Macaca mulatta: one gene and its partners. The protein of the gene in region 1 interacts with the protein of each later gene in a pairwise test. Links are inferred from orthologs where the notes say so. Each region holds a gene or a part of one and is shown on either strand. Other genes may lie near its edges.

Region 1 (7,583 bases):
TGGAGAGTGGTGTGCTCAGAAGAGAAGGCCGTATCTGTTGGGGGGATTGCAAAAGAAAATTTGGGAGTGGTACAACTTTTGGCCCAGGGATTCCAAATGTCTTGAAAACCCCTGAAACTTTATGTAAAATGCCATACAAATGTGTGTGTGTGTGCACATTTTTCTGGAGATAGTTCATAACGTTCAGCATATTTTTAGAGGGACCTGTGACACAAAAACGAACCCACTGTGGTCTAAGAATGCTGGGGATGGGACTGAATCTCCAAGGCAGGAGGCAAGGTGCAGTAGTGGTATCATTTTGGAATTAGGTTTCCCAAATTCCTTGTTAGGAAATTGAGCTGCAGGGGCTCTTTCCATATATTTCTTGCCATCCAAAGGCAGGCCAAGTTCCTCAGAGCTGAGAAGCCCATGTGAACTGTCACATAGCAAAGCAATGCTTGAATAAACTACACTTTCAATCAATGGTGAGGAGTGGGCCCTGAGTTAGGAAGGAAAGGCAGTAGAGGTTTACTTCTGAAATCACATCTACCTTTATCTACAAAATAAGGGTAAAACCTCCTGGTCTTCTTATGAGAAAATAAGTAGAAGGTTATATGCGAGATATTGTAGACAGCAGCCTGTACAAGCCGGGAAGCTGACACACGTGAAAAAAATGGCTGTGGCTAGACTTGTGGGGACAGAACCCAGCTTTGGCACCGTCCTGGTCTTAGGATCAGTCTAGGGCAGAATCCAATTGCAGTTTGTACATCCTCTTTCTAGGTTCAGAGGTTAAAATATACAATATTTTATCATTATTAACCCTGTCTCTTCCAGTTGGCAGTTATCAATGGTGGATCATATCTGATGTGATATATTTGATTACAGACTACAGTGAATTTTCTCCACTTCGATTTAGGACCAACTACATAATCCTTGGTAAGAAAAGGAAGTCCCTGACAAGTGCAACTCGAGAAATGCAATGCTGGAGAATCCAAAGGTGTCTGACTTGAATGAAATGATTCCACTGGGGGACAATGCAACATATACTCCGGGTAAATAGATTAAAAAATGCCTTTATTTTTAAAATGTGGCTCAACTACATGCAATGTACTGAGCCAGTTTTGGAATCCACCCTGTACCAGAGTAAAAGTGGACCAAAGGAAGTGAAGTCAGGGCTCCTGGCTGTCACTCCTCCAGCAACTCAATCTACAGAGCTTTTCTTCAGCTGTTTTTTGTGACGTGTGGTGATTCGTTTTGGATTCCTCTGTATGACAGACAGGTCCGACCTTGAGGAAGACCGGTAGCCCACATCCTCTGCTTTTATGGGGTTAATGATATGGCCTGGCTTGGTGACGACCTTGGGAGTAGTCAGCTTTTGGAAAGCCCTCTGGGTGTTCCATGTGGATCCTATGGGGGTCTGGATGGTCCTTTCAAATTGCCAATGGTGGGTAAATGGATATGGAAGCACTCGTACCTGGAAAGGAAGGAGAATGATTTGGTATGAGGCAGGCCTGGGGTGCAGTTATACACTGTTCTGACAACTCTCATCAGGTACTATTTTGGTACAGGCCACGGTTCCACATGATGACTGCAACTGAAGAGACTGAGAGGTTAAGGCATCCCATCGCTCCCATCTGCTCTTAGGAGTCAAATCTGCTTGATGACATTTGGGAGTAGGGGGGCCTAAGTTGGCTCTGGATCCCCTGTTTATTCAACAATTCAGGGTCTAAAAAAACCAACCTGACACTACTTCTGTCTTTGTTTTTGTTTTCTTTTTTGAGACAGAGTCTCACTCTGTTGCCCAGGCTGGAGTGCAGTGGGGTGATCTCTGCTCACTGCAACCTCTGCCTACCAAGTAGCTGGGATTACAAGTGACACTGTCCCTATCCAGCTACAGGAGCTCCAGGGCTGTTGTCCCAGAGTGAGCTTTCCTATGTAACACTGTGACTGCAAGAATCCAGACCATTTTGTATCCCTGTGGATTTTATAACTTTTCTACCCTCTTTATGCTCTCAGTCTCCTCCTTCCCTCTCTTAGGATTGATGTTTCAAGGAACCCGAATCCTGAACTCTACCAGGCCATTACACTTAAAGTTTCATCTTTTTTGTTTGTTTGTTTTTGTTTGGGTTTTTTTTTTTTTTTTTTTTTTTTTTTTTTGAGATGGAGTCTCGCTGTCGCCCAGGCTGGAGTGCAGTGGTGTGATCTCAGCTCACTGCAAGCTCTGCCTCCTGGGTTCACGCCATTCTCCTGCCTCAGCCTCCTGAGTAGCTGGGACTACAGGTGCCTGCCACCATGCCCGGCTAATATTTTTGAATTTTTTTTTTTAGTAGAGACAGGGTTTCACCGTGTTAGCCAGGATGGTCTCGATCTCCTGACCTCATGATCCGCCCACGTCGGCCTCCCAAAGTGCTGGGATTACAGGCGTGAGCCACCACACCCGGCCCACTTGGCTTCATCTTCTTTTGGCACCACAGAATGTAGAGCTGGAAGGCCCTAGATATTGGCAATGGTCATCTCTGGCCTGAAAATTTGGCTTAGAGGGAGGAAATGATGGAGCTAAGTAAATGAGGAGCAGCATTGGAGAACAGAACCCAAAGCTCCTGTTTCCTTGCCTGGTATTCCTCCACCACATTTCTACCTTCAGACATTTAAATAATCTTTCAACACTTCCGCAATGGCCAAAGGAGGAAGACACGTAAGCAGAAAATGGGGATGTAAAAATCAGTAGTCTTTGGCAGGGCACGGTGGCTCACACCTGTAATCCCCGCACTTTGGGAGACCGAGGCAGGCAGATCACTTGAGGTCAGGAGTTCAAGACCAGCCTGTCTAACATGCTGAAACCCCGTCTCTACTAATACAAAAATAAGCTGGGCGTAGTGGCGCATGCCTGTAATCCCAGCTACTCAGGAGGTTGAGACAGGAGAATAGCTTGAACCTGGGAGGTGGAGGTTGCAGTGAGCTGGGATCATGCCACTGCATTCCAGCCTGGGTGACAGAGTGAGACTCCATCTGAAAACAAAACAAAAACAAAAAAAGCAAATCAGTAGTCTCTGGAAACATTCAGTGGAATACTCAAGAGAAGCTAAGCACTATCTGGTGGTCCTGGTAGTAGCGAAGGAAACAAATTCTCTTTAAGTTAAGGGAATGTCTTATTTGGGTTGACGGCTACATCTGTGCTTGTCAACCAGGGCAACAGAAAAAGAGAACACCTGGACAAAGAGAACACCTGGACAAAGTATTCAGTCTCAGAAGTCCCCCCTAGGCACCTTGAAGCACTTTATTCTACTGCATGTTGGAACCTGCAGTAACTTATTAAAAAGATGAAAATCAGGGGAGATTCCTAGAAAACTATTTGTCAGTTTGCCATGACTGCATTAAAAAAACAAATAGACCCCTGGAAGGGAAGGGTCGTCTTTATTGAGCTCTATACTCTACCCATCACCTGGAATCCTGGCCCACTGAAGCACCCTTTCCCCCCTTCCCTTATCGTGTAACTGCCTATTTTCTAGTTATATAGCCTTAATTGGGACTGCAGTAGTTACGTTTCAGTTTCTGCAGTGATTGGTTCACAAAATAAGATAAAAAAGAATGTTACTGAAATGTATATCTTCTTACCTCTGTTCTGTAGCCATTAGTTCCTTATTCCTTCAGAGGGAAAAATGTAACTCATTTCAATATACTGGCTGGGGACAGATGTCAGAATTGAAGGGAACATAAAGGTCATCTAGTCCAATCTCATTCTTGAGTCCCCTTTACATGTACTCATACTCCCAGAGCAGCCTTGAATTCTGTATCTCCTCTAACTTCTACTTTATGTGACTTCATACAGTAACCTTCGATATACTTGAACACCGTAATCACGCTCAAATTTTCTTCTCTTGTAAACATCCCCAGCTCGTTATCATGTGACACAACTTACAATCTTCTCATTCTCCTGAACAAGTACCGGTTTGTCTTCATTTTTCTTAAGCTACAGCTCAAACCTTATAGCCTCTGTTTGAGCATTACCTTGACTCTAAACTTTTTTCCTGGCTAGTAATTAAAACAGCATAGTCTATCTGAGATGATAAATGTAACAGCCATTCAGCAAAAACAATAGATTTGATTCTGTGGTCAAGATCACACGTCCCTCTTGACTACAGATCACTAGAATACTCCTCTCAAGCAAGAAAGTCAGGCAGCTAAAGAACTCTCTAAGTTCTCACCTGATGAGCCGCTGTGTGGATGTTGCGCTTCTCATTAATAATCACATTTGGCAAATTCTTATCTTTTCTTGGAGGACCCTCAGGGGCTTTAATGAGAAACCTGGAAAGCAAAACAACAGGACATCTGACTAGGAGCATTAAGGACTTAGTCAAAAGGGTAGGGAGGACACCGAAGGGCGATGGGGGAGAACCTAGTGCCCTTTTGACAGACTTTCTTCCGCATTCTTACCGGCGTCTTTTCTTGGCACTGGGCTTTAGGCCCACACCACCCCACTCGCCCCAGCCAGGTAGCGTCAGGTCCACGTCCTTTGGCTTACTAGCCTCCACGGCTTCCCTCTTCTCTTTCAAGAAATCTCTGATGACATCATCCCCAGCAAAAGCTTCCTTTATCATCTGCCTTTGGTTTCTCTCCTCTTCATCTTCCTGGGGAGAAACAAGCGAGAGCTACAGCTTGGCTTATGAGCTGTGGTTCATGGCGAGAACGGTTGAATTTTGGGTCGTGACATTTTAGCGCCCCCTAGAGGGAAGTGCTGAACAATGATGGTCTTGAGATACAAACTAGTGCGCAGCCAATCATGCTCCAGTTTTCTTCCCTCTAGGGTAAGTATCTCTAGCTCATTATCATATGACACAATTTTAAACTTTTGAGTAACGAAGCTGCAGGGTGGAGGAAAGAATGGCCCGTGTTAGCAGCAGGAGCTCTAAGTGGCCAGACTGTAGGCTTCGTCTAGCTTATATCCCTTAAAAGACAGGTGCCAGGATGCTTCAGTGAGTTTCAGATTAACTGGGGAGTCTTAGACCATTTGAGATCCCACTGAATAAAACTTTGGCAACAGTTCAATGACTCACCTTCGAGTTGTCCTGCCTGGGATCTGGTCAGAACTCTGAGTTACTCCCTCTTTCCTCTGAGAGCAGTATTAGAGTCACCCCAGAGGAGTTTTGGTGGATCAGGGTTTCGGAAATAGGGGTCTTGACAGCACCCATAGATCTGCATCTATTAAAACATCACTGTTTTAGGACCAGCCTGGCCCTATACTATTCTGGACTTCTCAATTACTGAAATGTGCCCGCAGCGAAACAAAGCTTCATTACTCCTTGTGCAAGGACACTTTCTGAACAATGGCCCACCACCCTGGCTCTGCTCACCAGCTCCTCTATTGTGGGAACTGCCAAAGACTTCACGGAGGGAGACTGTGTGGTTAGGAGGTTCTGTAGGTCGATCATTTGCTCCTTCTTTTTCTTCTTAGGGGCATCAGGGCGATTATTTGGGGTCCTCTCTGACTGCTGCCCTTCTAACACAGGTCTGGAAAGCTCCTTATTTTGAAAACATTCTTCTTTTCCCAGCTCTTCTAGTTCTTCCAGCGTCTGTACTCTCTCTGGCCTCTGTAGCAACAGGGGCTCCTCTTCTTCTGTGGCAGGTTCCTCTCTCTGGACCTGGGGAATAGTCCCCTCTGAACTTGCTTTTTGCTTCCTGGACTGATCATTTTCCTTCAATTTCTGAGATAGTACTCTCAATTCAGACAGCACTTCCTGGCTGCTGGAATCTGGGGGAAAAAGAATGAAAGCTGTCAGAAAAGGCCGGGCGCGGTGGCTCACGCCTGTAATCCCAGCACTTTGGGAGGCCGAGGCAGGCAGATCACAAGGTCAGGAGATCGAGACCACGGTGAAACCCTGTCTCTACTAAAAATACAAAAAATTAGCTGGGCATGGTGGCGGGCGCCTGTAGTCCCTGCTACTCAGGAGGCTGAGGCAGGAGAATGGCATAAACCTGGGAGGCGGAGCTTGCAGTGAGCCGAGATCGCGCCACTGCACTCCAGCCTGGGCAACAGAGCGAGACTCCGTCTCAAAAAAAAAAAAAAAAAAAAAAAAAAAAAAAAAAAAGAAAGCTGTGTCAGGAAAAGGAGGTATGTACGTTGTCTGGTTGGTAAGCATTTGTTGAGCACCCACCAAGTGCTAGGTACCACATAAGACATTCTAACGAGGACAAACAGGGAAAAGAAGATTCTGTACATTGAATCTCCTAGAGAGTACACTAATCATAGCAGGCAACGGAGTTTGGTAATTAAAAGTAGCATGTGGCCAGGCGCGGTGGCTCATGCCTGTAATCCCAGCACTTTGGGAAGCCGAGGCGGGCAGATCATGAGGTCAGGAGATCGAGACCTGGCTAACACGGTGAAACCCTGTCTCTACTAAAAATACAAAAAATTATCCAGGCATGGTGGCATGTGCCTGTAGTCTAGCTACTTGGGAGGCTAAGGCAGGAGAATCACTTGAACCAGGTAGGCGGAGGTTGCAGTGAACTGAGATTGCGCCACTGCACTCCAGCCTGGGTGACAGAGCAAGACTCTGTCTCAAAAAAAAAAAAAAAAAAAAAAAAACGGAGCATGTGCGATGTTGGATATGGTGGCTCACGCCTGTAATGCCAGCATTTTGGGAGGCCGAGTGGGGAGGACTGCTTGAGCCCAGGAGTTCGAGACCAGCCTAAGCAACATAGTGAGAACTCATCTCTACCACCTCCACTCCCCCAACAACAAAAAATTTCCAGGCATGGCAGTGTGCATCTGTAGTTCCAGCTACTTGGGAGGCTAAGCTGGGAGGATCGCTGGAGCCAGAAAGTCAAGGCTGCAGGGAGCTGTGACTGTGCCGCTGCATACTAGCCTGGGCAAACAGGGCAAGACCTGTCTCAAAAAAAAAAAAGAAAAGTAGCATGTTGGAAAGCAGACGTCCTGGGTCCTATTCCCAGCTTTGCCAATGATCCACTGTATGACTGGGACTGTGGCTTAAGTTCCTCGTGCAGTAAACCCCACTTGGGAAGATTGCCCCAAGTTCCAAATTTTAAAAAAGGAAGCCACTTTAACAGGTGGCTTCTGAATGCAACTTCATTGTAATTTATGCTTTACTGCTTATAAAAACCTTATCCAGGATTTTCATCTTTTTTTTTTTTTTTTTTTTTTTTTGAGACGGAGTCTCGCTCTGTTGCCCAGGCTGGAGTGCAGTGGTGCAATCTCGGCTCACTGCAAGCTCCGCCTCCCGCATTCACGTCATTCTCCTGCCTCAGCCTCCTGAGTAGCTGGGACCACAGGTGCCCGCCACCGTGCCCGGCTAATGTTTTGTAGTTTTAGTAGAGACGGGGTTTCACCGTGTTAGCCAGGATGGTCTCGATCTCCTGATCTCGTGATCCACCCATCTCGACCTCCCAAAGTGCTGGGATTACAGGTGTGAGCTACCGCACCCGGCCAGGATTTTCATCTTGACTCAAGAATTTCTACTCCGTATCTTAAAGCAGTATTTCATAATCTGCTGTTGCTGAGTCAAGGGATGAAGTAGCTGCTTTATCCAGTGGAGGTAGCTCACACTTCCACTGGCAACATCTGAGCAAATAACACTAGTCTTAAGAGT
Region 2 (8,092 bases), on another chromosome or scaffold:
GGGCTCTGCCATCACAGCCCCTGTCACTGCCTATGACTTTCCCAGGCACGGCCCTGACCCTTCTGGGTACTGTCTCATGATTTGTCATTTTTCCCTTGGTGTGAGGACAGGGTTCAGTTCTATCTTAGTGACATGCCTTGTAGCAGCAACACAGGGCATGACACTGAATCAAAGCCTAGAGGCTGTTGGGCAGGTGAGTGCCTCTCTCCTGTTCCTTCTGCATCTTCCACACTGACACCCCTCAGCAGGCCTATATCCCTCTGTCTCTACCTTTCTCTGCCCATGTCCTATCCCTTTGCCTCTTGTCACTGTTCTTCTGTCTCACTTTCTCTCTCTCCCAGTCCATGTGTGTCTCTGTGTCTCTGCCCATTCCTGTCACTTTTTGTTTCTCTCAAGGTCTGGTGTATTTCAGTGTGTGACCCTCAGTGTCACCCATCAGTGACCCTCATCCCCCCTGCATGCTCACAGACCTTACTGAGTCCCATTTGTCCCCTCAGGACCCAACCAACGGTTACTACAAGGTCCGAGGAGTCAGTGTGAGCCTGAGCCTTGGCGAAGCCCCTGGAGGAGGCCTCTTCCTGCCACCACCCTCCCCCATTGGGCCCCCAGGGGCCCCCACCTTCTATGACTTCAACCCACACCTGGGCATGGTACCCCCCTGCAGACTTTACAGAACCCAGGCAGGCTACCTCACCACACCCCACCCTCGAGCTTTCACCAGCTACATCAAACCCGCATCTTTTGGGCCCCCAGATCTGGCCCCCGGGACTCCCCCTTTCCCATATGCTGTTTTCCCCACACCTAGCCACCCGCGTCTCCAGACTCATGTGTGACATCTCTCCAGTGGAAGAGTCCTGGGATCTCCAACTTTCCATAATGGATTGTCCTGATTTCTGAGGAGTCAGGATAAGTTGGCGACCTTACTCCTCCAAAATTGAACACTAGGGGAGGGAAAGATCATTACATTTGTCAGGAGTATTTGTATACAGTCAGCTCAGTCAAAGGGGATGCCCCAAGTGGGAGCAACATGGCCACCCAATAGGCCCACCTATGTCCCAGTGTAAAAGAGATTCAAGATGGCAGGTAGGCCCTTTGAGGAGAGAGGGGGACAGGGCAGTGGGTGCTGGGAGTTTGGGGCTGGGATGGAAGTTGTTTCTAGCCACTGAAAGAAGATATTTCAAGATGACCATCTGCATTGAGAAGAAAGGTAGCATAGGATAGATGAAAATGAAGAGCATACCAGGCCCCACTGTGGCTCTCCCTGAGGGAAACTTCGCTCGGCCAATGGAAATGCAGCCAAGATGGCCGTGTACTCCCTAGGAACCCAAAATGACCACCATCTTGATTTCACTTTCCCTAAAGACTCAGAAAGACTTGGACCCAAGGAGTGGGCATATGGTGAGAATTAGCACTGTTGGGGCAAAAGGGAATCTTGGGATAAAAATATTTATGTTTAATAATTAAAAAAAAGTCAAAGAGGCAAGTGTGTCTTAGGGAGTCTACTGGCATTATTACCCTCCATCAAGGAAGGGGTCCATTAGACCTGTCCCAAGGTCTCTCCTCTACCCTAGCCTATAAGGTGGCTGTAGAAGCAAAACTGTGAGCCACCTCTCAGCCTCTTGCTACCTGCAAAGCACTCTAGACTCTTTATTTATTTTTTTTTTCTTGAGACAAGGTCTGGCTCTATGGCCCAGGCTGGAGTGCAGTGGCACCATCTCAGCTCACTGCTACATCTGCATCCTGGGCTCAAGCCATCCTTCCACCTCAGCCTCCCAAGTAGCTGGGACTACAGGTGCACACCACCACACCCAGCTAATTTTTGTATTTGTTTGTAGAGACAGGATTTCATCCTGTTGGCCAGGCTGGTCTCAAACTCCTGACCTCAAGTGATACGCCTACCTAGGCCTCCCAAAGTGCTGGTATTACAGGCGTGAGCCATTGTGCCCAGTCATGGACTCTTTTAATATACATCTTCATACACACACGCACACACACACACACACACACACACGAGTTGCAAACAGAAAAGACACACACATTGGCATGTATGCACAGACACACGCATAGATGTCCACACAGTTGCACACATGTGACAGGGCTGCCCCAGGGGTCCTGGGAAAGACAGAGTTCTACACTCTCATTAGAGGAGACAAACGAGTGAGCCCTGAAGTGGGACAGAGAAGGAGACTATGGGCATGAAAATGGCAATCCCCTGGTCCTTACAGCAAGGGTGGAGATCCAGACCCTAATCCTGGGGCGCTGCATCCACAGTGGGCATAGTGCTGGTGCCTGCTTGGGTGATCCTTAAAGAAAGGTCCCGGGGGCTTTGGTTCATGGATCCTTGAGCTAGGAGTTAAAGATCCAGGCCCCTGGGACCCTTGGGAAGCAGAGCAGGAAGACTGAACTCCTGGTTCTGAGGGAGAATGGGCTGGGGGCTTGGTCTCTGGTCCTGAGAGAGAAGGTGCCCGGACTTCTGGATCTGAAAGAGGAGGGGACTGGGTCTCAACTGCTGCCATCTTGACGGGACATTTTGGAGGCCTGTATTCCTGAGCCCTCAACAGAGGAATTTACTAGGGGACGGGGGTCTCTGATGCTTGCATCCTTGGAGAAGGACAAAACTGTGAGTGTCTGGGTCTAAAGAGGGTGAGAGTCCTGCGGGAGGACTCAAAATCCACAACGGGCTGAGCCCATAGCAGGACTCCTGGCTGGGCCCTTCATGGGGCGGGACGCCTGGAATCTCCAGGGGCGGGGGCCTGGCGCAGGCTCCCGCCCGGGGTTCCAGAGCTGCTCCACTCTGCGCGGAGCCGCCACGCTATTGTCCTGGCCAGGAAGGCGGGGCCGGCGCGGGGCGTGGCTGGCGGCGCCGGCGCAGCCCGGGGGCGGCGGGAGGAGGAGGTGGCGGCGGTGGCGCTGGGAGCTCCTGTCACCGCTGGGGCCGGGCCGGGCGGGAGTGCAGGGGACGTGAGGGCTCAAGGGCCGGGACATGGGGCCAGCCAGCCCCGCTGCTCGCGGTCTAAGTCGCCGCCCGGGCCAGCCGCCGCTGCCGCTGCTGCTGCCACTATTGCTGCTGCTTCTGCGCGCGCAGCCCGCCATCGGGAGCCTGGCCGGTGGGAGCCCCGGCGCGGCCGAGGTGAGGCCGGGCCGGGTCCTGGGGGATGGGGGAAGGGGCGGGACCGGGTCTTTGGACGCCAGCGCGGACATGTACAGGACAGAAAGCGCGGTCTTTCCAGCCAGGTGGTCAGCCCCCAGGCGCCCCCAACCGCATTTATGAACCCAGGGTTCCAGGCCCCAGCTCCCCCATCCTCCGACGTCCCAGCCCCCTCCCACCCCGAGCATAGGAACTGGTCTATTCAGAGCCCCTGGTCCCAGAAGTCCAGCCCCCTCTCCAGACCCAGGTGACTAGGTCCCAACCCCCTCCCTCCTGGACATAGGACCCACCAAGCAGCGAGGCACTTAGATCCAATAATCCAGACCCCTTGTATTCTCTGGACCCATATGGAGGCCCTTGCAGCCTCCCAGGACCCAGGAGTCCGGTCCTTCAGTCACCACCCACCCCAACCAGATGTAGCTCTCCAGTCCTCAAGGACCTGGTGTCCAGGACTGTAGGCCCCTGAAGCCAGGCCTTATCAGCTTTGCACCCTGCAACCGGAGCCTGAGCAAGGGATGGAGGGAGGAGGGGCCAGAACGCCTGGGTTCAGGCCTCCTCCGCGATTCAGGTTTAACCCCTTCGGGCTCCAGAGCGGCTGAGCTGGGGTCGGGGCGGAGTCTGTCTCCGCGGCAACAAGGCAGAAAGAATCCCGGGGGACCCGGGTCGCCATAGCAACGGGAGAGCTAGGGCGCCCCCGCCCTACGGGAGCTGTTTCCCAGGGAACGGTGCCTCCATGGAGGCGGTGTGCACAACGGTGCTTGGGGGAGGGGGCTGGTGCTGGGGGTCTCGGTCCTAGGGAGCAAAGAACCAGGGGACCCTCATGCCAACGCCCCCCGGGCCCTCATTATCCCCTCCACTTCCATCCAGGCCCAGGGGTCGGCCCAGGTGGCTGGACTATGCGGGCGCCTAACCCTTCACCGGGACCTGCGCACCGGCCGCTGGGAACCAGACCCACAGCGCTCTCGACGCTGTCTCCGGGACCCGCAGCGCGTGCTGGAGTACTGCAGACAGGTGGGCGGGGCCGAGCGGGAGGGGCGGGGCCAGCGGGAAAGCGGGCCCCAAACGAGGCGGGGCCGCCCGTAGAAAGCTACACTTGAAAAAGGCGTGGTCCAAGGTGCCGCGGGATCTAAGACGTGGAAGCTAGCGGACGTGGCCAATAAAGAGGCGCAACTATGCTAGGGCAGGGGACCTGTTTTGAGATACTAAGTCAGGAAAGGGGGAGAACCGCGAGATAGCCAGAGAAGAAGTGGAATTTAGGAATCTGGTGGTCTTTGTAAAAAGCAGAGGTGTAGTGGGGAGTGGCGAAAGGATAGGCGGGGCTAAGACAGAAAGAGACCTTAAGGACCAGCGAGATGGGGAAAGGGGTGGCGCCCAATGAAAGCGCGGAGAGCTGGGGGGCGTGGCCACGAAAAGACAAGTCTGTAATGGGAAGGGAGAGCTTTGGAGAGGCGAAATAGAGGAAAAGGCAGGGCTAAAAGGAGGGTGAGACCTTTGGGGAGACGAATCTGACTGCGGGGAGGGGTGACCAGAGAGGTGGGCTTAGAGGGACCTTCAGAAAGAAACAGCACAGGAAAAAAGATAGCCTTGAAAACGGACCTGGCCGGGCGCAGTGGCTCACGCCTGTCATCGCAGCACTTGGGGAGGCGGAGGCGGACGGATCACCTGAGGTCAGAAGTTCGAGACCAGCCTGGCCAACATGGCGAAACCCTGTCTTTACTAAAAATACAAAAATTAGCCGGGCATGGTGGTGCGTGCCTGTAATCCCAACTACTCGGGAGGCTGAGACAGGAGAATAGCTTGAACCTGGGAGGAGGAAGTTGCAGTGAGCCGAGATTGTACCATTGCACTCCAGCCTGGGCGACAAGAGCAAATCTCCGAAAGAGAGAAAGAGAGAAAGACAGAGAGAGAGAGAGAAAGGAGGGAGGGAGGGAAGAAAGGGGACCTGACTACTGGAGAGGGGTGGCTGGCAGAGGCGGGGCTGTGGGCTGATTGCCCCCATTTAACCCCCCCAGATGTACCCGGAGCTGCAGATCGCACGTGTAGAGCAGGCTACCCAGGCCATCCCCATGGAGCGCTGGTGCGGGGGTGCCCGGAGCGGCAGCTGCACCCACCCCCACCACCAGGTTGTGCCCTTCCGCTGCCTGCGTGAGTCCCAGGCGGGGAGAGGGGAACTGAGGTGGGAGTTTCCGAGGGGCAAAATTCTGAGCCCCTCTCTCGGGCCCACATTAAGGGGGTGGGTGCTTGTGTCCTAAGTGGGGCAGAGAAGCCTCTGAGGATAAAATATCTGGATTCTGAGGAGGGTGGGGTTGGTGCTGTAGGAGGGTCTCACCCTGGTGTCCCGTGCTTCCCCAGCTGGTGAATTTGTGAGCGAGGCCCTGCTGGTGCCTGAAGGCTGCCGGTTCTTGCACCAGGAGCGCATGGACCAATGCGAGAGTTCAACCCGGAGGCATCAGGAGGCACAGGAGGTCAGGACCTTGGCCCACCCGTCCCCAGCCCCCAGAACCCAGGAACCAGGACCCCAACACCCTCCTCCACCAGAACCGAGGGTCTGGGCCACCAGTATCCTCTTCCCACTTGGGATCTAAGAATTTCATCCCCCAACCCCTTCCTCCAGAACCAGGAATCCAGGCTCCCAGCCTCATCAACCCCCAACCCAGGCAGCCCAGCTCCCCATCTACCCCTCCTACCCCACAATCCTGGCATCTGGGTCCACTCTTCCTACAGGCCTGCAGCTCCCAGGGCCTCATCCTGCACGGCTCGGGCATGCTTTTACCCTGTGGCTCGGATCGGTTCCGTGGTGTGGAGTATGTGTGCTGTCCCCCTCCAGGGACCCCCGACCCATCTGGGACAGCAGTTGGGTGAGTGAGAGGGAACCCTCCATGCCCATCCCAAGGTTCCTGAGGCAGGGGATGGAAGCCTGGGAGCCTGGGCCTGGGTTCTTATTGCCTGGGTCCTCTCCTGCTCCCTCAGTGACCCCTCCGCCCGGTCCTGGCCCCCGGGGAGCAGAGTAGAGGGGGCTGAGGATGAGGAAGAGGAGGAATCCTTCCCACAGCCAGTAGACGATTACTTCGTGGAGCCTCCACAGGCTGAAGAGGAAGAAGAGGAGGAAAGGGTCCCACCCCCAAGCTCCCATACACTTGCAGTGGTCAGCAAAGGTGAGGCAGTCTCTGAACCTCTGGGGCCTCTCCACCATAGAGGGAGAAACATCTGGGGGAGTGTTGCCGGGGGCTGTTTTTGGGAGGGACCTATGAGGGAAAGGCCCAACTGAGGAGAAAAGATGAGAGTATCTTTAGATAAAACAGAGGTAGAAGAGCTAACCTGCCAAGGGAGGGGGTGGTTTGAGGGTACTTGGGAGTAGAGGGGCCATTGGGTAGGTCCTGAGGATCATTTCAGGAAAGCTTGGAAGATGGTGTAATGGATTCCTAAGCTTTGCAAGAAAAGGCTAGGCCCAGTCCAGAACTACATCTCCCATAATGCCAGGCAGCAGAGGTGGCTAAACTGGGTGCATGATGGTCTCCGGTGCACTCTAGGAAATGTGGTTCTCTAAGTAGAAAAGGCGACCTGGAGGTGGGCTGCAGACTGACCTCCTGATCCCTGGTCTTGCAGTCACTCCCACCCCGAGGCCCACAGATGGTGTGGATATTTACTTTGGCATGCCTGGGGAAATCAGTGAGCACGAGGGGTTCCTGAGGGCCAAGATGGACCTGGAGGAGCGTAGGATGCGCCAGATTAATGAGGTGATGATACCGGGGGCCCCAGGACCCCCTACAGTACAGAGCTCCCTAAATACCAGGAAACTCCTCCAGGACACATTGATACTACCTCCAAAGGCTCCCTAAGCCCCTTTGACCTTGAGCTCTCAACACCATCCCCTAAGATGACCAGAGATCCATGGCCCATCTATAATCCTACTGAGACACCACCAGATTCTATGGAAACTCTGGTCTATGATACGCTTTCACTTTACTGGTTTTTGTTGTTGTTGTTGTGATGGAGTTTCGCTCTTAACACCCAGGCTGGAGTGCAATGGTGGGATCTCGGCCCACTGCAACCTCTGCCTCCTGGGCTCCAGTGATTCCCCTGCCTCAGTCTCCTGAGTAGCTGGAATTACAGGCACCTGCCACCACGCCCAGCTAATTTTTGTATTTTTAGTAAAGACAGGGTTTCACCATGTTGGCCAGGCTGGTCTTGAACTCCTGGCGGGAGGAGATCCACCCGCCTCGACCTCCCAAAGTGCTGGGATTACAGGCATGAGCCACCACGCCTGGCCTCTCTTTCACTTTAAACTCCTTCTGCATCTTCCCTCTTGGGAACCCAAGAGCCAGTAAGACTTAAGGGATCTAGGGCCTCTAAAATCTTTTTTTTTTTTTCTTTTTTTTGAGACGGAGTTTCGCTCTGTCGCCTAGGCTAGAGTGCAGTGGCGCGATCTCCACTCACTGCAAGCTCCGCCTCCTGGGTTCACGCCATTCTCCTGCCTTAGCCTCTACTCCCAAGTACTCCCGAGTCCCCAGCTGGGACTACTGGTACCCACACCGTGCCCAGCTAATTTTTTGTATTTTTAGTGGAAATGGGGTTTCACCATGTTAGCCAGGATGGTCTCGATCTCTTGACCTCGTGATCCACCCACCTCGGCCCTGTAATGTGCTGGGATTACAGGCATGAGCCACCGCGCCCGGCCATGGGACCTCTAAAATCTTAAAGAGGGGTTGGGGGACTTGCCAGGTGGATGAGGGTGGATTCTGGGATCCTGAAGCTCACCTCCGTATGCAGGTGATGCGTGAATGGGCCATGGCCGACAACCAGTCCAAGAACCTACCTAAAGCCGACAGACAGGCCCTGAATGAGGTAGGACAGCCCCAGTGGGTCCTACTCATGCCTGTCCGCCACCTGGAGCATACTCAGTTTCACCTGGCTCTGGCTGTGTCCTGCCCATCCAGTTCCACC
Region 3 (7,321 bases), on another chromosome or scaffold:
ACTTTGCCTGCAGACAAAATGGTTCTTCCCTAATTGAGATGGAGGCTTTGGGGCCATTGGGACTGACCTAATAAAGCAAAGCGGTGCTGTATCATGTGTCAAAAAGGCAGTTTCCTGAAATTGAATACTTTAAAAATGTGAGCAGAGTAGAACAGCCCCAGGGGTTGTCAGTCATCCCTCCTGGTCCGGGCTAGCTCAGCAGGGACTGGAAACGCACCCGCCCCTGATCCAAAGTCGGGAGTATTCAGTAGTGGCCTTCCTCCGGGAGGAGGGGCTGAGGCTTCAGGCCTAGCCTTTGTTTTCTCTGGCCTGGCATGTGGGCAGATTTTAGTGTTATACATTGGAGGGGTGGAGTGCTAGCATGTTAAGTAAATTTTATTTCCAGCATTTCCTGGAGACCTGTAACTAATACATTAAAAAAATGTTTAATAGTAGGCCGGGTGCAGTTGCTCATATCGGTTATCCCAGCACTTTGGGAGGCCGAGGTGGGTGGATGACGAGGTCAGGAGTTTGAGACCAGCCTGGCCAACATGGTGAAACCCCGTCTCTACTAAAAATACAAAAATTAACCCGGCGTGGTGGCACACCTGTAGTCCCAGCTACTCGGGAGGTCGAGGCAGGAGAATCGCTTGAACCCGGGAGGCGGAGGTGGCAGTGAGCTGAGATCGGCTCACTGCACTCTGCCTGGGCGACAGAGCGAGACTCCGTCTTAGAAAAGAAAAGAAAAGAAAAAAGAAAAGAAAAGAAGAGAAAAGTTTAATAGTTTTAGAAGAGTAATACCTATGTTCCAATCACTTAAAATTAACGTATTTTATCCAATCAAGGCATATCATCATTTTATACACCAAGAAAGAAAGAAAAGAAACTAGCGAACAAACGGGGCATAATGCCTCCTGGCCCCGCTTCCCCCTATGCCCACGTCCTTAGGAGACACCTCTGGAGTTCAGAAATGCTAGGAGAGCAAGTTCTTCATTCTTAGAATCCAGGATCGGCCGGGCTTTTGCAGCTCTCCTCTGCCGGGAAGCCGCTGGGGGGCGCAAGACGCCAGCTTCTCACTTTGGCAGAAGCGCCTGCCTGTAAGCGCAGAATGAAAACTTCCCCATAGCAAGTTCAGAAGTACCTTGTACATTCACCACCCACGTGAAGAAAGCCTGAATGAAAGGAACAAAGAAAGCTTCGGCGTTGTTTACTTTCCCATTATCGCCCCAGTCTTGCGGCAGGGCCCGGGTTTCCATCCAATCCACCCGGCCCGCCACTGTCCCGGCCAGTCTCCAAGGCCTCACCCAAAAAAGGGGAGCACTGAGGTGTCCCCAGCGCGCCTTTCCACGTAGAACAGAAGGCGCAGACACCAAAAGTGCTGCGGTCAGTGGGTGAATCCTCTGAAAGTGCCAGCGTGTATGGTCAAGCGGCAGCAACCTCTAGCCTATTAAACTCTCTCAAGATCCAGACTTTTATTCTATTGCTGGAAAAAAGGCTTTTTACATATGCGTATTTAAGTAATTAAAATATTTCAACATGGCATAAGACGTAGGGGCTCTTACTCCATCAGTACTGGATGGGAATCTCCTTTTGCCCTCTACTCCCCAGGGTAACTGCAGCCCCACCTGAATGCGTTTTGCAGCCCTTACTGGGGTTCCTATTAATGCGCAGCTTGGACAGGGCTCAGTGGCCCCGGCCCGGCAGCTCCGTGGCCGACCCCCTCCACCGCCCTTCCCCCGCACCAGGCCAATGCAAGGGTGTGTGTGTTGGGGGAGGGGAGGAGAAAAGGGATTCAGGATCTTTTTAACCTGCCTGTAGATGGCGCCCCGGGAAACAGATTCCGAACTACATCCCCTAAGCTCCAAGGGCCGCAGCCGCGGGGTCCCGGCCAGAGGGCGTCCAGTCGCGAAGACTGCGCAGCAGCTCTCTGTGCTTCCCAACTCGCGCGGCTGCTCGGCACCCGTGCGAGGAACGGGTGGAAGGGAATTACATGTAGCAGGGCCAGTACAGGCGGCGCGTACTCAGGGACCACGGAGTGGCACTCAGCCTCGACCCCACGCGCCAGGCAGCCCGGCGACCCCCACGCGCGGCGGGGGCCTGCCCACCCCACCCGGCGGCAGGTGGACAGTGTTGCTATGAAGAGAAAGCCTCGATTGTCCCTACTGCAAACCGCCACACGCCAGACCTCTGCTATTGTGCGCCCTCCATAGAAATGCAAACGAGCGGCGTGCGCCGGCCGCAATCTGCTCGCCCCTGCCCGCCCCCTTCTCCGGCGCCCCGCTGCTCTCGGCCAAGGGCGGGGAGGTGGGGTAGGATCTTCCAGCGACTACTCAATGTACACATTGAGTATGCCTGGCAGGCATTACCAGCGCGCTCCGGACGCTAGTGGTCAGCTGCAGGGGGCTGTGCCCACTGCCTTTTGCAAGCCTTTAACTGGCGTTACCTGTTTTTACCTTAATTTCCTGCTCCAATGCAACAGTCTCATAAACTTCAAATTAAAGAAAAGAAACAAATAGAAAGGTAGCAATAAAAAATGGAAATAAAATTCCTTTTGATTCTATAAAGGTGCTTTTCGCAAATTGCAGCATCATATTAGCAAACAAGGTTTTTGTGGATTGGCTTTTTTTTTTTTTACTTTTTCCTTTTAAGGACTTCAAAAAAAAAAAAAAAAAAAAAAAGAAAGCCAGGCGAGATGAAATCTGCAGGCTCCAGTCTGCCTGGTAACACCCCAACAAAAGCGGCAGATTTGAGGCATTGTCATCCCCCGCACCCCTCCCCACGTGGCCTTCTGGCACGAGCCGCGGGCTCGCGGTCTCATTTACATCAGAAAGCGGGTGCCGGCCAATAGGCGGGCAGCCTCGCGCCAGCTGGCGGCGCCGCACCCATCCGCCTATATAAGGACGCGCAGCGTAGCCCGGGCGCACTCGCTGGTGGTGGGCGCGCCGTGCTGAGCTCTTGGTCTCAGGGTGTTCGCCCGCGTCCCCTCCGCGCTCTCCGCTTGTGGATAACTTGCTGTTGTTTGATCGCACTATGACTCTGGAAGAAGTCCGCGGCCAGGACACAGTTCCGGAAAGCACAGACAGGTGGGTTTCAGGGCGCTGAGAAAGCGGCTGGTCAGTCGGCGACCGTCAGGGTTCTCCAGGGTGGGAATCCGCGGGATAGGAGCCGAGCCCGGGGGTGCGGGCGTCAGATCCGGGTTGGAGAGCCGGGGTGCGGGCGCCAAGCCGGGATTGGAGTGTGGTTGGAGTTGGAGAGCCAAGGGTGAATCCCCGTGGCCGGGGCTCGGGGCTCCACCGCGCCCCACGGCCGTCTCCCGCTCACTAGCTGGCTCCTCCGCAGGATGCAGGGTGCCGGGAAAGCGCTGCACGAGTTGCTGCTGTCCGCGCAGCGTCAGGGCTGCCTCACTGCCGGCGTCTACGAGTCAGCCAAAGTCCTGAACGTGTAAGTGTAGACGCGACCCAGGCTGGGAGACAGGGGCGGGGATGAATGGCGAAGAGACCGGCGGATGGGAGGGGTGGCTGCGGGAGAACTTGGTTTGCCGGTTCTGACCTTGGTCCCCGTCTTGCCCTCGCAGGGACCCCGACAATGTGACCTTCTGCGTGCTGGCTGCCGATGAGGAGGACGAGGGCGACATCGCGCTGCAGATCCATTTTACGCTGATCCAGGCTTTCTGCTGCGAGAACGACATCGACATAGTGCGCGTGGGCGATGTGCAGCGGCTGGCGGCTATCGTGGGCGCCGGCGAGGAGGCGGGCGCGCCGGGCGACCTGCACTGCATCCTCATTTCGGTGAGTACAGCCCCGTCCGGTCCCCGCCCCGGTGTAGTTCCCGCCTCGGCCCGCGGCCAGCCAGGCTGACCCTGCTCTTTCTCAGCAGAACCCCAACGAGGACGCCTGGAAGGATCCCGCCTTGGAGAAGCTCAGCCTGTTTTGCGAGGAGAGCCGCAGCGTTAACGACTGGGTGCCCAGCATCACCCTCCCCGAGTGACAGCCCGGCGGGGACCTTGGTCTGATCGACGTGGTGACGCCCCGGGGCGCCTAGAGCGCGGCTGGCTCTGTGGAGGGGCCCTCCGAGGGTGCCCGAGTGCGGCGTGGAGACTGGCAGGCGGGGGGGGCGCCTGGAGAGTGAGGAGGCGCGGCCTCTCGAGGAGGGGCCCGGCGGCGGCAGGGCCAGGCTGGCCCGAGCTGAGGACTCTGCAAGTGTCTGGAGCGGCTGCTCGCCCAGGAAGGCCTAGGCTAGGACGTTGGCCTCAGGGCCAGGAAGGACAGACTGGCCGGGCAGGCGTGACTCAGCAGCCTGCGCTCGGCAGGAAGGAGCGGCGCCCTGGACTTGGTACAGTTGCAGGAGCGTGAAGGACTTAGCCAACTGCGCTGCTTTTTCAAAACGGATCCGGGCAATGCTTCGTTTTCTAAAGGATGCTGCTGTTGAAGCTTTGAATTTTACAATAAACTTTTTGAAACAAACTTATGCTCTTTATTGAGGGTAGGGGATCTTTGTGTCGGGGGAGGTGGTGCGCAGGGTTTCAGAGGATTGCTGGAACTCCGTGGAACTGATGGCACCTGTTCCGTCTTCCTGTCGGGCAAGAATGACAGGCTCCTCCGCGCTGGCAGAGGGAGGGCATGCTGCCCAGTGCTAGGGTAGAACTTGAGCCTGGCTCCTACTTTTCTCCTTTTAGGAAGATTTTAAACTTGCAAAACAGGAGCATACTTGAGAAAAGACATCAGTGCAGCAGCTGAAGTCTTGCCTTCCAAGGCGATAACAGTGACCTCTGCCTCCCCTCCCCCTCCCTCGGCCCTCCTCCCCCTCCCTCCCACAGCTGCTTATCAGAACAGCTTGCCGGAGGCCGCAGGCTTTCCTGCACAATGAGCATTGCCTTCTGCAGGCCCTGCCCTTTGTGGTCCCTGAGGACGGTGGCAGGCTGCTCCTGCTCTTGGGGACTTTTTCCTCTTAGATGCTCTGACAAAAAGCAATGCTACAAAGGTATTAATACCAAATATGACATTGATGACTGCATTTAAGTATGAGTCATTACTTTGTCATGGCTGTGATCGAACTTGGAAGATCTGAGAAAAAATTGGAAGGCAGCATCTATATAAATAGGCATGAGCAATTCTGAGGGGGCCTGGCATCTGCTATCTACTATTTTGAGTGTTCTCTGCCCACATCAGAGTTACGAGGATTGCTGCTATTCACAATTCCGTTTAAAGACTCATAGGAAAAAAAAAATTAAATATTTTAAGCCAAGACTTTCTTTAAGAAGGAAGGAGGGGGAAATGTCCTGATCGAATCAATCTTTTTTTATGAGACAGTATGGCTTGAGTTGGTTCTGTGTCTAACTAGTTGCTTCATCTGGGGAAATACATGTGGGGCCCTTGTGCTCTCAGCTAGGCTGCCAAGCAGGCCGAGCCTTCTGGGAAAAGGACGCGTGGTGTGCTGTCTTCAGTCCTTGGGGTGGCTGATTTACCTTGTTGAGTGCCACTTCCTAAAATTCTCTCCAAATTACAGGAGCATTCTTGAGGCAACAGGAAAACTACTGAATTACTCTTCTTGCCATGAAAGCATCCTGTTTTCCTTTTATCAGCTCCTAAAAACATCTGCTGCTCAATGGGACAAAAGCCCAGATAAAAAGTTCAGTTGTGTTTGTGCCCAATTTTCATGACTATTTTACCTATTTGCTGCTTGAAGTCTTAAGGTTTTCTTATTGAGGTAGTCTTGGGGTGGGCCTACCAGTCTGTGTTCCCGCAAAATGACCAGAACATGCTATTGGAAACACAAAGTAGACATGATTACTTTAAATGAGTAAATTCAGCAGAACATTATACAGAGCAGTTAGGCAGACCCTCCTGTTGGCCAAGCAAGCCTTGCAGAACATGAGGTTGCAAGCCCTTGGTTTTTTGATTAGAGCTTGTTGTGAGGCCACCTGTTAGAGCTCCAGAATTTGCAGGGAAAAAAATGCATGATGGAACACAGTAGCATGCCCAAAAGTTGTGCTAAACTTTTTTTTTTTTCTTTTTGATGAACTGGTGTTTAATGCTATTAACATGAACTAACCCAGAAGGCAGATAATAAAATGCCCAGTGTTTATAAACACATAATTGCATTTAATACTTCCAACAACCCTAAGTGATCATGCATATATAAGCCCTTAATGCATGGTAATTGTCACAACATATGTGTTGAGGTGACCCAGAGAGACAAGCACAATGCCTGGCATCTGGAAATCACTGAATGAATGTTAATGACAGTAATACTTAAAAGCTAATGAAGACATTTGTCTCAGAGCACAGAACTCCACGTGAACTAGTGGGTTTCGGACCAGCCATCTGGTTTCAGGACCAACACGTTGCTGCCATGAACTTCCAGGTGCTGGAGCACTTGCAGCAGGTTTATTTTGGAAAGAAGACTATTTTCATTGGATAACTTTCTACCTTTATAAGTTATATGTATTAATTGCAGGAAAATTATAAAATACATAACCATTAAAGAAATAAGTAAAAGCACCTGTAACTGACCATCAGCAAGTTTTAGTGTATTAATAATTCCTTCTGAACTTCTATTTTTCCTCTTACATATCCTGTAACATACATAAGCACACCCAACAGTTTTTAAAAAGCTGTATTTGGCTCAGTCTGCACTGGATTTAGTTACTGTCTCCTTTTCATTAACATGCTATTACAGCCCACATATATCCACATGACCTTGGGACAGGGCTTGTCTCTGCTTTAGCAGGCTCCAGTGCCTGGGTGAAAATACACATTCCAGCCTGGGATCCAGCTGGGGCATCTTCTCTACCTTGCAGCCCTCACTAAACTAGAAAGATGACTGCTGTTTGCAGGATTTTAAGTGTCTCATGTCTAAAAACCTTTGCCACCCCCAGAAAAATGAAAGTAAAGCATGCTTATTTTTAATATTTTTTAAGTTTTGCTTATGATCACTGTAAAAATTGGTGCTGGCAAAGCACCTGTCATGAAGATGAAATGGATACAGAATGACAACAGGAGCAGCTTGGAGAGTCAGGCATTCCTTGCCCACACCCTGCATTGCCCACATAGGGAGCTGAGGTCTCCTTGTTCCTCTCCTGGCAAGATGATAGGACAAAATGATCTCTGAGATTTATTTTATTTTTAAGGGCTCTAATTCTCTGTGTTATATATTTTATTAAACCATTAGCCTCAATAGTACACTGTGTATTGGTTTTGAAGCCACTTGAGAAAAAATAAAAAATGAAAATTTCAGAGGAAAAGCAAGGATGCTGGCAAGGCGTGTAGGGTCAGCTCAGTAAACAGATACTCAATTTTGCTTTTTCAAGATTCTTGTGATTTTCAGTTGCTTTTCTAAGACG

Evidence for each region. The genes of interacting proteins can lie anywhere in the genome.
Region 2: the proteins of UTP14A (region 1) and APLP1 interact in a two-hybrid assay, tested with the Homo sapiens proteins (2 studies listed by BioGRID and IntAct). The link is inferred for Macaca mulatta from reciprocal best matches to the Homo sapiens genes UTP14A and APLP1.
Region 3: the proteins of UTP14A (region 1) and GADD45G interact in binary tests that used the Homo sapiens proteins (3 or more experiments, as listed by UniProt). The link is inferred for Macaca mulatta from reciprocal best matches to the Homo sapiens genes UTP14A and GADD45G.

What each region holds. Positions count from the first base shown.
Region 1 is NC_133426.1:136,379,097-136,386,679, reverse strand, and holds the end of UTP14A (U3 small nucleolar RNA-associated protein 14 homolog A), read right to left. Parts: intron 5,729-7,583; coding exon 5,331-5,728; intron 4,608-5,330; coding exon 4,414-4,607; intron 4,285-4,413; coding exon 4,185-4,284; intron 1,454-4,184; coding exon 1,181-1,453; 3' UTR 1,037-1,180; downstream 1-1,036. UniProt on the Homo sapiens protein: May be required for ribosome biogenesis.
Region 2 is NC_133424.1:47,113,306-47,121,397, forward strand, and holds the start of APLP1 (amyloid beta precursor like protein 1), read left to right. Parts: upstream 1-2,920; 5' UTR 2,921-2,983; coding exon 2,984-3,130; coding exon of another isoform or gene 3,131-3,177; intron 3,178-3,959; coding exon of another isoform or gene 3,960-4,015; coding exon 4,016-4,159; exon of another isoform or gene 4,160-4,203; intron 4,204-5,049; exon of another isoform or gene 5,050-5,160; coding exon 5,161-5,293; intron 5,294-5,500; coding exon 5,501-5,613; intron 5,614-5,872; coding exon 5,873-6,006; intron 6,007-6,118; coding exon 6,119-6,303; intron 6,304-6,754; coding exon 6,755-6,885; intron 6,886-7,918; coding exon 7,919-7,993; intron 7,994-8,092. Other genes in the region: KIRREL2 (kin of IRRE-like protein 2), read left to right, coding at 498-833. UniProt on the Homo sapiens protein: May play a role in postsynaptic function. The C-terminal gamma-secretase processed fragment, ALID1, activates transcription activation through APBB1 (Fe65) binding. Couples to JIP signal transduction through C-terminal binding.
Region 3 is NC_133420.1:120,271,017-120,278,337, forward strand, and holds GADD45G (growth arrest and DNA damage-inducible protein GADD45 gamma), read left to right. Parts: upstream 1-2,905; 5' UTR 2,906-3,009; coding exon 3,010-3,062; intron 3,063-3,318; coding exon 3,319-3,420; intron 3,421-3,553; coding exon 3,554-3,767; intron 3,768-3,855; coding exon 3,856-3,966; 3' UTR 3,967-4,449; downstream 4,450-7,321. UniProt on the Homo sapiens protein: Involved in the regulation of growth and apoptosis. Mediates activation of stress-responsive MTK1/MEKK4 MAPKKK.